Drosophila melanogaster: one gene and its partner. The gene in region 1 interacts genetically with each later gene. Each region holds a gene or a part of one and is shown on either strand. Other genes may lie near its edges. The genes, in order: dan and ss.

What was found.
Region 2: of dan (region 1) and ss, changing one suppresses a phenotype caused by changing the other (phenotypic suppression), as found in Drosophila melanogaster (one study listed by BioGRID).

What each region holds. Positions count from the first base shown.
Region 1 is NT_033777.3:25,182,327-25,187,467, forward strand, and holds the start of dan (distal antenna), read left to right. Parts: upstream 1-2,056; 5' UTR 2,057-3,103; intron 3,104-5,141. UniProt on the Drosophila melanogaster protein: Probable transcription factor with a role in the retinal determination (RD) network. Regulates ato expression and is required for normal R8 induction and differentiation.
Region 2 is NT_033777.3:16,400,439-16,405,370, reverse strand, and holds the start of ss (spineless), read left to right. Parts: upstream 1-1,680; 5' UTR 1,681-1,953; exon of another isoform or gene 1,954-1,975; intron 1,976-3,026; 5' UTR 3,027-3,475; coding exon 3,476-3,531; intron 3,532-4,932.

The DNA of each region.
Region 1 (5,141 bases):
CGGATGCTAAGAAGAATGTGCGTCTGTGTGGGTAGCGTGTTGCCAAACTGCTTCAGTGTGTGTCCAGTGAGTGAGGCTGCGGGTGTGTGTGTGTGACGAAATGAAGCGACCCGGGCAGGCTGCTTGGCTTTTTAGTGGCAAGGATATGTTTCTTGCCAATGCGGCCCCATGCCGGCCATCTATACTCGTGGTCGTCCGTAGTCCGTCGTCCGTCGTCCGTTGTCCGCTGTCCGTATTCCGTAGTCCTGCGTTATTGTTGCTCCTTGTTGTGTATACGCCTCTACTTATATGTACGACTACACTATATCCTTGGGCCTGTGTTTTCGTGTGCGTGTGGCTGTGCGTGTACGTGTGATTGTGCGTTTCGGACATGGATTCAAAAACCTTTCTTAGCGATTTCCCGAAAGGCAGCAACTAGCAACTCTGGCGACACTGCTGCTGTCTTTTTCGTTGCCGTTGTTGTTATTATGGTCAGTGGCCGCCTTCGTTGGCCAGATACAATAGGGAAATAGGGAGCTATGTATGTGCGATTGTGTGTGTGCTCTGCGCAAATGTTTTGCATAGCAACTACTAAGTCTACGACCTCAAAATGCCTATGTGTACACACGCATTATATAAGATCGTAATCTCGGGGCTATCCCACGATGGTGCAAATACTTGTCAGGTTTTTCTTCTCTCGCAGAACTAATCAAAATACACTTTGACTTGAAACTTGCTTGGGAATGATATCAACAATCTATTTAACATGGTTTTTTATTCCTACCTAGAGCTTATCAGCTCGGTAATTAATATTACAAGGAACCTAAACATCTTAATGCGTAACCATGTTAAACATTGGTGTATACCAAGCATTGAATATGTTGTGCACTAAGTATATGAATATGTATGAATATGTCGGCACTTTAATGGAAAACATAAGTTATTGTCCTGCCTACCTATATACACTACAATTATATTATTCTTGGTAGCTAAATATGGGAAATACATATTTTGAAGCTGGCTATCACCTGAAATTTGCAGCTGATTAGTTTCTTGTCCCACAATTTGAATTCGATTATTTCGCCATCTGACATTTCTAAACCGCAGCAATTTGCCTGCAAAAGTCGATGGAGAAACAACCACTATGTCATGCCCATATCTTTGCGATCGAGTGTCCGTTCGAGAATTCCGGTTCCTTCGGCGATCGCCGGTCACGCTCCAGCGAAAAGAGCGACGAAAAGAGCCAAGAAAGCCACTCTGTTGGACGGATTCGCCTTGTTTTCAAGAATGTGGGTTTCCCAAGGGGGGTTTCCCCGTGGGGTCACCACCTCCTGCCGTCATAACTTCGTTCGGTTCGGGCGGCAAAAAGCCGAAGACGAGGACGAAAGCTGCTCTCTCACTGGCTCTCTCCCTCTCTCTCTCTCTCTCTCTTAAGGAAGAGGATGTTCGGTTCTCATTTGCCTCAGCTCTTTGCGAAACGGTCGCGAAAGAGAGGCGAGCCCACGTAATCTGCGATGAAGGCATGTATCAAAACAAAGCGAGGAAAACTGGCCGCAATCACAACAGCAACAACTGCAGCACATGACAGCGGGAAAACTAGCAGAATTATCAGTGACGATAAAAGGCGCACCCCCTACTGCGAAAATTAGACAGGGATTTCGGCTAGGTTTTTCACGTTCTTCTCGCAGATCCGTTGCTCGTTTGATAGTTGTTGCCCAGCGTTTAAGGAAGCAGAAAATGGCTTAGCTAAACGCAAGCAAATGCCTCCTGAGGTTGCACACAGTCTTACACTGGAAAAAATCTAGATTTTACCTAAAACTAATACAGAATACAAGGAAATATAAGCTTGGCAGAAAAGTAATATATACTTTTCATCACAAGCGATCGTATCATCTATTCGTTTATTTGTATGAAATTTCATTTTCATAGTTATAATCATGGAATATATGTACATAACTAAGAGATACAAAATTGCTAAATTATTATACTAAATTTCGAATTCTTACCAAATTTAATAACATTATCTTTACTAAGGTATCAAGATTTTTCTCTCTGTGCTCACACACACACGTGGGCGCAAGAAAGGAGGCCGAAAAGGATGTGCGTCTCTCAATCTCAAAAAGCCTAGCACGAGTATTGCGTCGTCTTCGTTGCACACAGCTGTGTGTCCGCACGTGTGTGTGTGTGTGTGTGGGAGGATGTGCTGTGTTAGTATGTGTGCTCGATATGTGTGTGTGTGAGTGGACACTGGCCTGTGGTTGGGCCGGCCAAAATGCGAAAATGCCAAAATGCGAATATTGCGAACGGGGCAGCCAAAGCGAGAGGACTTCTTCGCCGCCGTCTTGACCGTTATTAATCATTGTACATTTGGCTGTCACCGAAAAAGGCCGCGAATTTCGCAACAGTGAGAGCGAAAGAGAGCGGGCGAAAGAGAGTCCGAGAGAGGGAGCGAGAGAGAGCGACTCACGCACACGTGAAAGAAACAAAAACGACAACTACAAAACTACTAATACCAAGGCAGACCAACTGACCAGCACACAACCACCACTGCAGGACGCATATATCTGCGAGTGTGCTTGTGTATGTGAGTGAGAACGAAACGCCGCATTTCGTGGACGTGCGACTTTAAATTTCCCGTGACGTCGCCGCCGTCGTCGCCGTGCGGAAATTCGCCGCGCTAAAATCAAAATTCACTCAAGTCCGCCGCGGTAGTTTGTCGCCGCACGCTAGCCGCTCAGGTTCGCACATCCACGTCACAGCGACGCAGCGTCACAATATCACAATATCCTTCGACGAGCGCGAGAGAGAGGTCGCACCGCACCGCACCGCATGTCCTGCCGCTAAAATTCGCACGCCACAGCAGCGGTAAACATCACGCCGCATCGCGAGCACAGTGTTCGATTGTGATTGACCGAGTGATGTTATACTTTCAAATGAACAACAACATTAACTGAAAACAATAAATTCAAATCCATGTGAACTATAAGTAAAGTGATTTAAAAACATCGCCGGTCGAGATAAGAATAATTTAACTGCTGCAAATAGTTGCGCTATCACCGAATTTCTCCCGCCTTCGCTGGAAGAAGGCACCGATCCATTTTCGCCCCCGGAAGATAACTAAAAGGTTAGTATTTGATTTCACCGGTGAATTGAGCAATCCGTAAAGTGTAATTGTTAGTTCTGCATTAATTAATAACAGTTAACTGAGTGTTTTAAACACAACTTGAAGAATTGGTGACACAAGAAAAAATATTAAATAATCAAAAAATATTTATTTAAATCGGAAACCAAACATAAAAAGTTTTTCGAGAGATTAGTTTTGAAGATTTATTGTTTACCTTTCTACATAACAAAAACGAATTATTTTTACACAATTTGGAAAACAATATAAGTGCAGTTCTTTGTGTATTTGAATAGTTGCCACATTTTATAAATTAATAAGTACAAATCTTAGTAGGTCCTTCAAATAACAACTTAACAACTTTTTTATACAAAAGAGCAGGAAATATTTTACGAGAAAGTATTTATTCATATTTATTTATAATAATATTCAGGAGTGATAGATATTGTGTATAACATTAATATCTTATGTAATTTTATTATTTACCTCCTAACACTGCGTTAGCAATTACTTAAATTTGCTTTCCATCAAAAATTAATATTTTTAATTTTTTATTTAATTTTTTTACCTCCGAGTTTAGATTCAAATATTACTTTGTCCATATGATACTTGGTTTGTAAAATAAGCTTGAAAAAATGTAAATTTTATATAACTAAAGAGTTTTAGTTAGATTTCCTTTATCTACCAAGTTTATATTGAATTGCAATATTAACAAACACAGGAAACCGGTTTTATTGGCCCCTTAATGTATGCAATACTTTTTGATTGTATTTATGGTAAAAAGTTATTTTCCTATCCGTTTAGTTGTTGAACGCTTCTGTGTCACTATTCTCATCTTGTTTTATAAATTAGAAAGTATTTAATAAAGTTGCTTATTATTATCTTTCTTATTTTTTATTTTATTTATAATTATATTTTTCTCGTACATCATTAGCATTTCAGTGTTGTAAAACAACATCATTCATAACATCACTGATATTTCAACACTAGGAAAATTATCAAAGGATTTACATATTTTTATTTATTTATTATATAACTGTAATTCTGAAAATCGATTCATTGTTTAAAATAGTATTGCCCATACATGAGACCATAGTTAGATAATTTGATAAAGTTCATATTGAATCCCCCGACAATTAATAAATTCGTTCCACTGCGAAATGCCGACACAACATTAATCGGGCTAATCATAAACGAAAACACACAATAAAAAAGGTGCAATAGTGCTTAAAGCCACATAGATCATTGGTGCCAACAGGTCCAACATTACAGCAGACACATGGTTTATTTGCACACACTTAACTGCGGTGAGGGAAGCATCCCAGACATCCCAGACACACACACACTAACACACGATTGGGTTTGGACCAAAGCAACTTTTTCTTTTATCTACGGAATTCTTATTTTTATGTGTTGCCTCGTTTTTGTGTTTTATTTCTTTCTGCATTAGCACAAACGAATGGAGCTATCAAACGCTTGCACATATTAGTACTAGTTTCAGTCGTTGACCTCCATTTGCCAGACTCTCCTGCCCCCCTTCGCTTGCCCCTCCCCCCGCCTCGCTCATCCCGACCCATCCCATTTGACCCTCCTTGGTGTCCTTGCCACATTGCCACATGCATTGCCCCTCTGTGTCTGTGAGTGAGTTCAATACGAAGCCAAAGAAACGAAAAAAATAGTAAATACAATAAAATTATAATTGTATATAGGAAAATCAGAAGCTCTTAGCCCACACACACACACACATACACACTCACGTGTACGATGAAATGGCCAGACGGTTGGCCATTACAGACATACTGACGGGTATGGCCATTCCGGCATACATATGTCCTGTCCTGACTAGGTGTGTGTAAGTGTTCGGGTGTGTGAGTGTGCATGTGTGCACAGCAGCAACATCAGACACAGACGGGCCCCTTCCACACACACTCACTCACACACACACTGACAAACTTGGTGTAATTCTTTTATATTTATTTCTTTCATCTTTTTCTGTTGTTACTAGATTTTTTACACACTTCTCACTGTCCCAGTTCGGTTC
Region 2 (4,932 bases), 8.8 Mb from region 1:
ATATTGGCCCTCAATTTTAAAGATCAATTGATGACTGTACTTTAAAGCGATAATGCAAGAAGAGGAAAGGCAGTGCAAAATAAGAATATTTAGAGGGAGGTGGAATAAGCACCTGCACTGTGCACTTCTCTTACGAAGTGGAAGCGTAAATTGATAAGCTGCAAGCTGGAAAAAGTTGCAACGCACCAAAACTGGTTGCAAGCCCTTCCACTTTGCTACACTTCACTCCACTCCACTCGACTCAGCTCACTTATTAGTGCCACCGATTGACATGCGCTGCCTTCTGTTTTGCTCATTCTTCGGAGTGGATCCTCTTCTGATTCTCCCGATTCTTCTGATCCTGCTGTCTTCGGAGCTGCTGTTGTCCTTAGTTTACGCAGCGAGATTTGAGTGAGACACCAGACTGCTGGAGATTCTAGCTGAGGAAATATTGTTTTCTTCAGCCTTCTGACTTGGCATTGAATAGTTGCACGCAATACAAATACAGTGCCAACAATTTCGTACATGGCTGACGTCACAATAAAAGAAAAATGCTTTTTCGAAATTGAAGGCATTCTACAGTGGTCATTCGATAACAATAATAATGTTTTATTAGAGTGGACGTAAGTAATCAAATTAGGAAACCACACAAATGAACTACAATGGGCTGCATGATTGAAAGGGCTCGAATATTGTGGCTTTCCAGCGCCACCAAGTATGCAACACGTTTTCAAAGGAAAAAGTTCATAACGTAACATTTCGCCAACTTTTAAAAATAAACATAAAATTATTTGGTAAATCACAGTAATCATATTAATTACAAAATGAATAGCTTGTATAGATTGTTATTAAAGTTAATTACAATTACTTATTAAAAACTTCTTTATGAGTGCCAACTGTACCTTTGACGAGTGCATCTCCATCGCCATCTGTGACATGCGGTCAAAGACGGACGCAGCATATGGGCCATGGGATAAAGGGGCCTCGTACACTGTCCAATCGGGTTCTTGGGCACGGACATTTTGCCCGTCTAGGTGTAGGAATATGATTTCTGGTTTTGTGCAGGGCAGCGGTGTGCATTTCGTTCTCCTTGTTCTTTTGCGGTTGTCAGGTGGCACATGTGAATAAATCATTCGCGATAAGCGCGAAGTGAGTGCTCATGTTTATGGCCTTAATGGTTTTGGTCACACCAAATAAAATTTGCATTTCAGTGGCAAAACGAGGTAAAATCCGGCTCAGATAAGTTTGAAATAGGAGAAGAGTATGGCGGATAGATGCCATTGAGCGATAACACTGATAGCTCTTAATTACCGCCTAATTAATTAAGAGATGAGCGATGTGCCCCGAATTTCTATTTCCAGTTGGTAGTGCGCTGGAAAGAGTCGGCGCTACTAGGCTGTCAGTGTAGTATGTGTGTGCGAACACGCCCCCTATAACGAAACTACAGGGTGCGAACGAGATAGCTGCAGCACTTCCAAGACCGACTTGGTTGGTCGCTCCCTTCCAGTCGCACGTATGGCGACGCTGGAACGGTTGGTAGTGGAACATCGTTCGCTCTGTCTCACTCCCACGCGACCGCGTCGCTTGGCGATCGCTCGTTGCCAGGACGACTGGAAGTGGCCCCAAACACGCCGCCCGCGTGTTCCATGGCCAGTGTGTTCCGCCAGGACTGGTTTTTCCATTCGTTTCGTGGCGCCGCTCAGTTCTTGTTGGAATCTCAAAGCGTTTACGTGGCCGCAGCGCAGCAGAGTCACGTTTGAAAGAGTGCGAGTGAGAGATAGCGACTTAGAGCACCGCGCCGAGTGCGAGTGAGAGAGCGCGCTCCATCGCCTTTGTGCCTCGTTTCAAATGCCCGTTTGTCCGTTTTTTTGGCACTGTTGTTCATTCATTCACTCGCTTCTGGCGCTCGCGTGCAGTTGCAGTCGCTGCTCCCTCCTAACGGTTGTTTCGCCGTCGCCAGAATCCCGCTAAAAGGTGCGTGCGTGTTTGTGTGTGCGTGAGTGTCCCCCGAATAAGGCAATACAACAACAATAGAGGCGAAAACAGAAACAAAAGCGAAACGCAGCACGCGATACCCTGTAACTGGAGGTTCTGTAAAGGCTTCGAGGAGTCACGTGTGCGAATTGCAGACCGCCGGCGGTCATTCACTTCTATCTATTTTACTATTCCAACACACCCACGCGCGCGTGTGTGTGTGCGTGCCTGAAAAATGTCACTTTGACAACTCGCCTCTGGTTGCTCTGCCGGCGGATCTGCCTACGTCGACGTCGATCGTGCCGCAAAATGAAAATGATTTGCGTGCCGTTCTTGCGTTAGCGCTTTTGGTTCCGTGCCGATTTTGATTTCCTCTGTTGCATGCGTCGTCATCGCAAACATCGCCCATTGATAAACCAGAGCCCACGAGCAACAACACTACCAACACAAACGGCAAAAGTGCAAGTGAAAAAGCAAAAGTGTTGCCACGAAAGAACCAAAACAATAACCTGCAAATCGCAGCCACTCGAATCAAAACAAAACAACACAAACAACAACTCGTTTTTGAAAGCAATTGAAAAAGGATTGAGGGATTTTTACAGTTTTCTGACTAGAATGTGCCATTCAAATTAATCAACACTATTGGTTGACTCTGATGTTTAATAACTTGCTAACATAATCTGTTATACTTTTTTAGTCCTTTGTGAGAAAAAATTGAAACAAATTTAAATATATTCTTTTTATGAATAATATATTTTCAAAATTTACCAAAATATAATTTTCAAAATAAAGTAAAGCCTTAATATCATATTATACTATTCTACAATGCAAGGCAAAATCAAATCGTATTAGACAACGGCTCCATGACATTGCCAACTTAAACTAATTGGATTTATTTTAGATAAACTGAAATCATTCTCCGTCGGGACTAATTACTTAAAAAATCTATTAGGTTGAACCGAAGTTATCGCCTTAGAAAATCATACAACCCACAATCGAATGAAAAAAAAAATCAAAATTCCCAGCCTTTCTCAATTGCTGAATCACAGTTTCGCATTAAATCCCTCATTTAGCTCTAACCAACTGAAACTACAGTGCAATATACACAAAAAAATAAAAAACAAAAACAAAAGGAGCGCGAGAAATGAAAAAGCAAACAAAATGTAAGCGTGATGATAATTAAAAATAAATACAAAGAAGAAAAAAACGAAATTTACGCGTGGCTACAACTCCGAAACCGAAAACCGCAGCAGGATCTCAGCGGATCTGATCGCACTCAGCTCCTGGCTGTGTCTGTGTGCGAGTCCGTGTGTGTGAGAGTGTGTACCCAGAGCAAGCCAAATCAATAAATAAAAACCAATTACAAAAGGAAAAAAAGCGAAATAAGAAAGCCACGACGAGGAAACAACCTGTACGACAGACGAGCAGAAGGCAGCAGAAGACAACAACGAAATATTGATACGAAAAATAATAAGAGTTAAAATCATTCACGACGGCGACCATAACGAACTCCGCCCTAGCAATGAGCCAGCTGGGCACCGTCTACGCCACCAAGCGAAGGCGACGCAACGGCAAGAGGTGAGTCCAAGCCCCAGTCCAATCCCACAAACCAATACCGATCCGAATCCCAAGATACAGATACGGATACGGATACAGATTCAGATATAAATGCACAGCGGGAGGCGGAATGTTTGTGGAGCGGGTTCTTGGGTGCTCTGTTATTACTGAAAGATTTCAATCAATGCGATTGGCTGCACTTACCACTTACCAGCTTGCCACCTTGTGGCGCCACCCGCTGACGATCCATCAATCTCCGTAGCTACTGGTCTTGAATACCCCAGATTCGATTATTAATGATCCGGTGGCCACTTTGTTGACAAATTGCCATCGCCATTGACTTTTGACTTGGCCCTCGGATGAAATGAAGGGCGGTGAATTCCCCCTTTGCCGCCCGATAGCCTCAAATTGATTTGCATTATGCATGTCGGGGCAGGTTACCGTGAAATTACAGTAGCCAAACAGTTGATGGAGATGATGATGAACGGTCATGCTGATGATGATGACGATGACGGCGGCCCCTCCGGCTGTTCGCTGGGGGAGATCGGAATCTGCCTGTCCCAAGGTGCACATAATTTCTGATAATTTTGTGTACTTAGCTGCTGCAACCGCACAAAGCATAATGTTTTCAATATAAATATATGAGAACTCACGCATTATCATGAGCAGCACTGCTAAATATGCAGAAGGCGAGGAGCGGCAACTGCAGCCCGGCCACGCCCCCTCGCCAAGTGCAGACCACCGATCGCTAATGTTGCGACCCCCATAATCAAGAGCCACTGATCAGCTTCAGCGCCTCAGTCTTGAAAGGGTGCAGAACGGGGCAGCTCAGGTCTGCGTAGATTATCTTCGGAAAAGCGAAGAACCAGGATCTATTTAGGATAAGCACGCAGTTGATAGATTGGTTATCCAACTCATCTAATATGGCGTGTAATGTTCGTCTACTTAGTTGTAGTCGGATTAGTAAACCAGTTATTAACAGTATAGCTCCATTTCAAAGATACTCTACGGGGAATATTTACTATTAACCGCTTAGCTTTAGTATTAAAATTTTACATTAGATGTTTTAAAAGATTTCGATATAGACCTTATAGATAATAATAACTTTATATGTTATTATGATATTATTTCTATTAAAACTTTACCAACTTAAACTGAAACATTTGTTTGTACAAGGCGTTGTGCACTTCAGAGTAAGTTCCTTGTGTGCAATTTAATTCCCCTTCTCCTTGAATTTCGTTTTTATTAAAGTTCCCGACTACGCCGTAAAACTTCAACTTAATACGTTTCACCATCGACAGGCAGTCGCGTAATTCGCTGTTCTTGCTAGTCTGATAAAGAACAAAAAACGACAAAAAAAAAAAACAATTACGCTTTACTGCAGTTGGCTGAAGAAAAAAAAACAGCAGGGCCTTCGAAGTG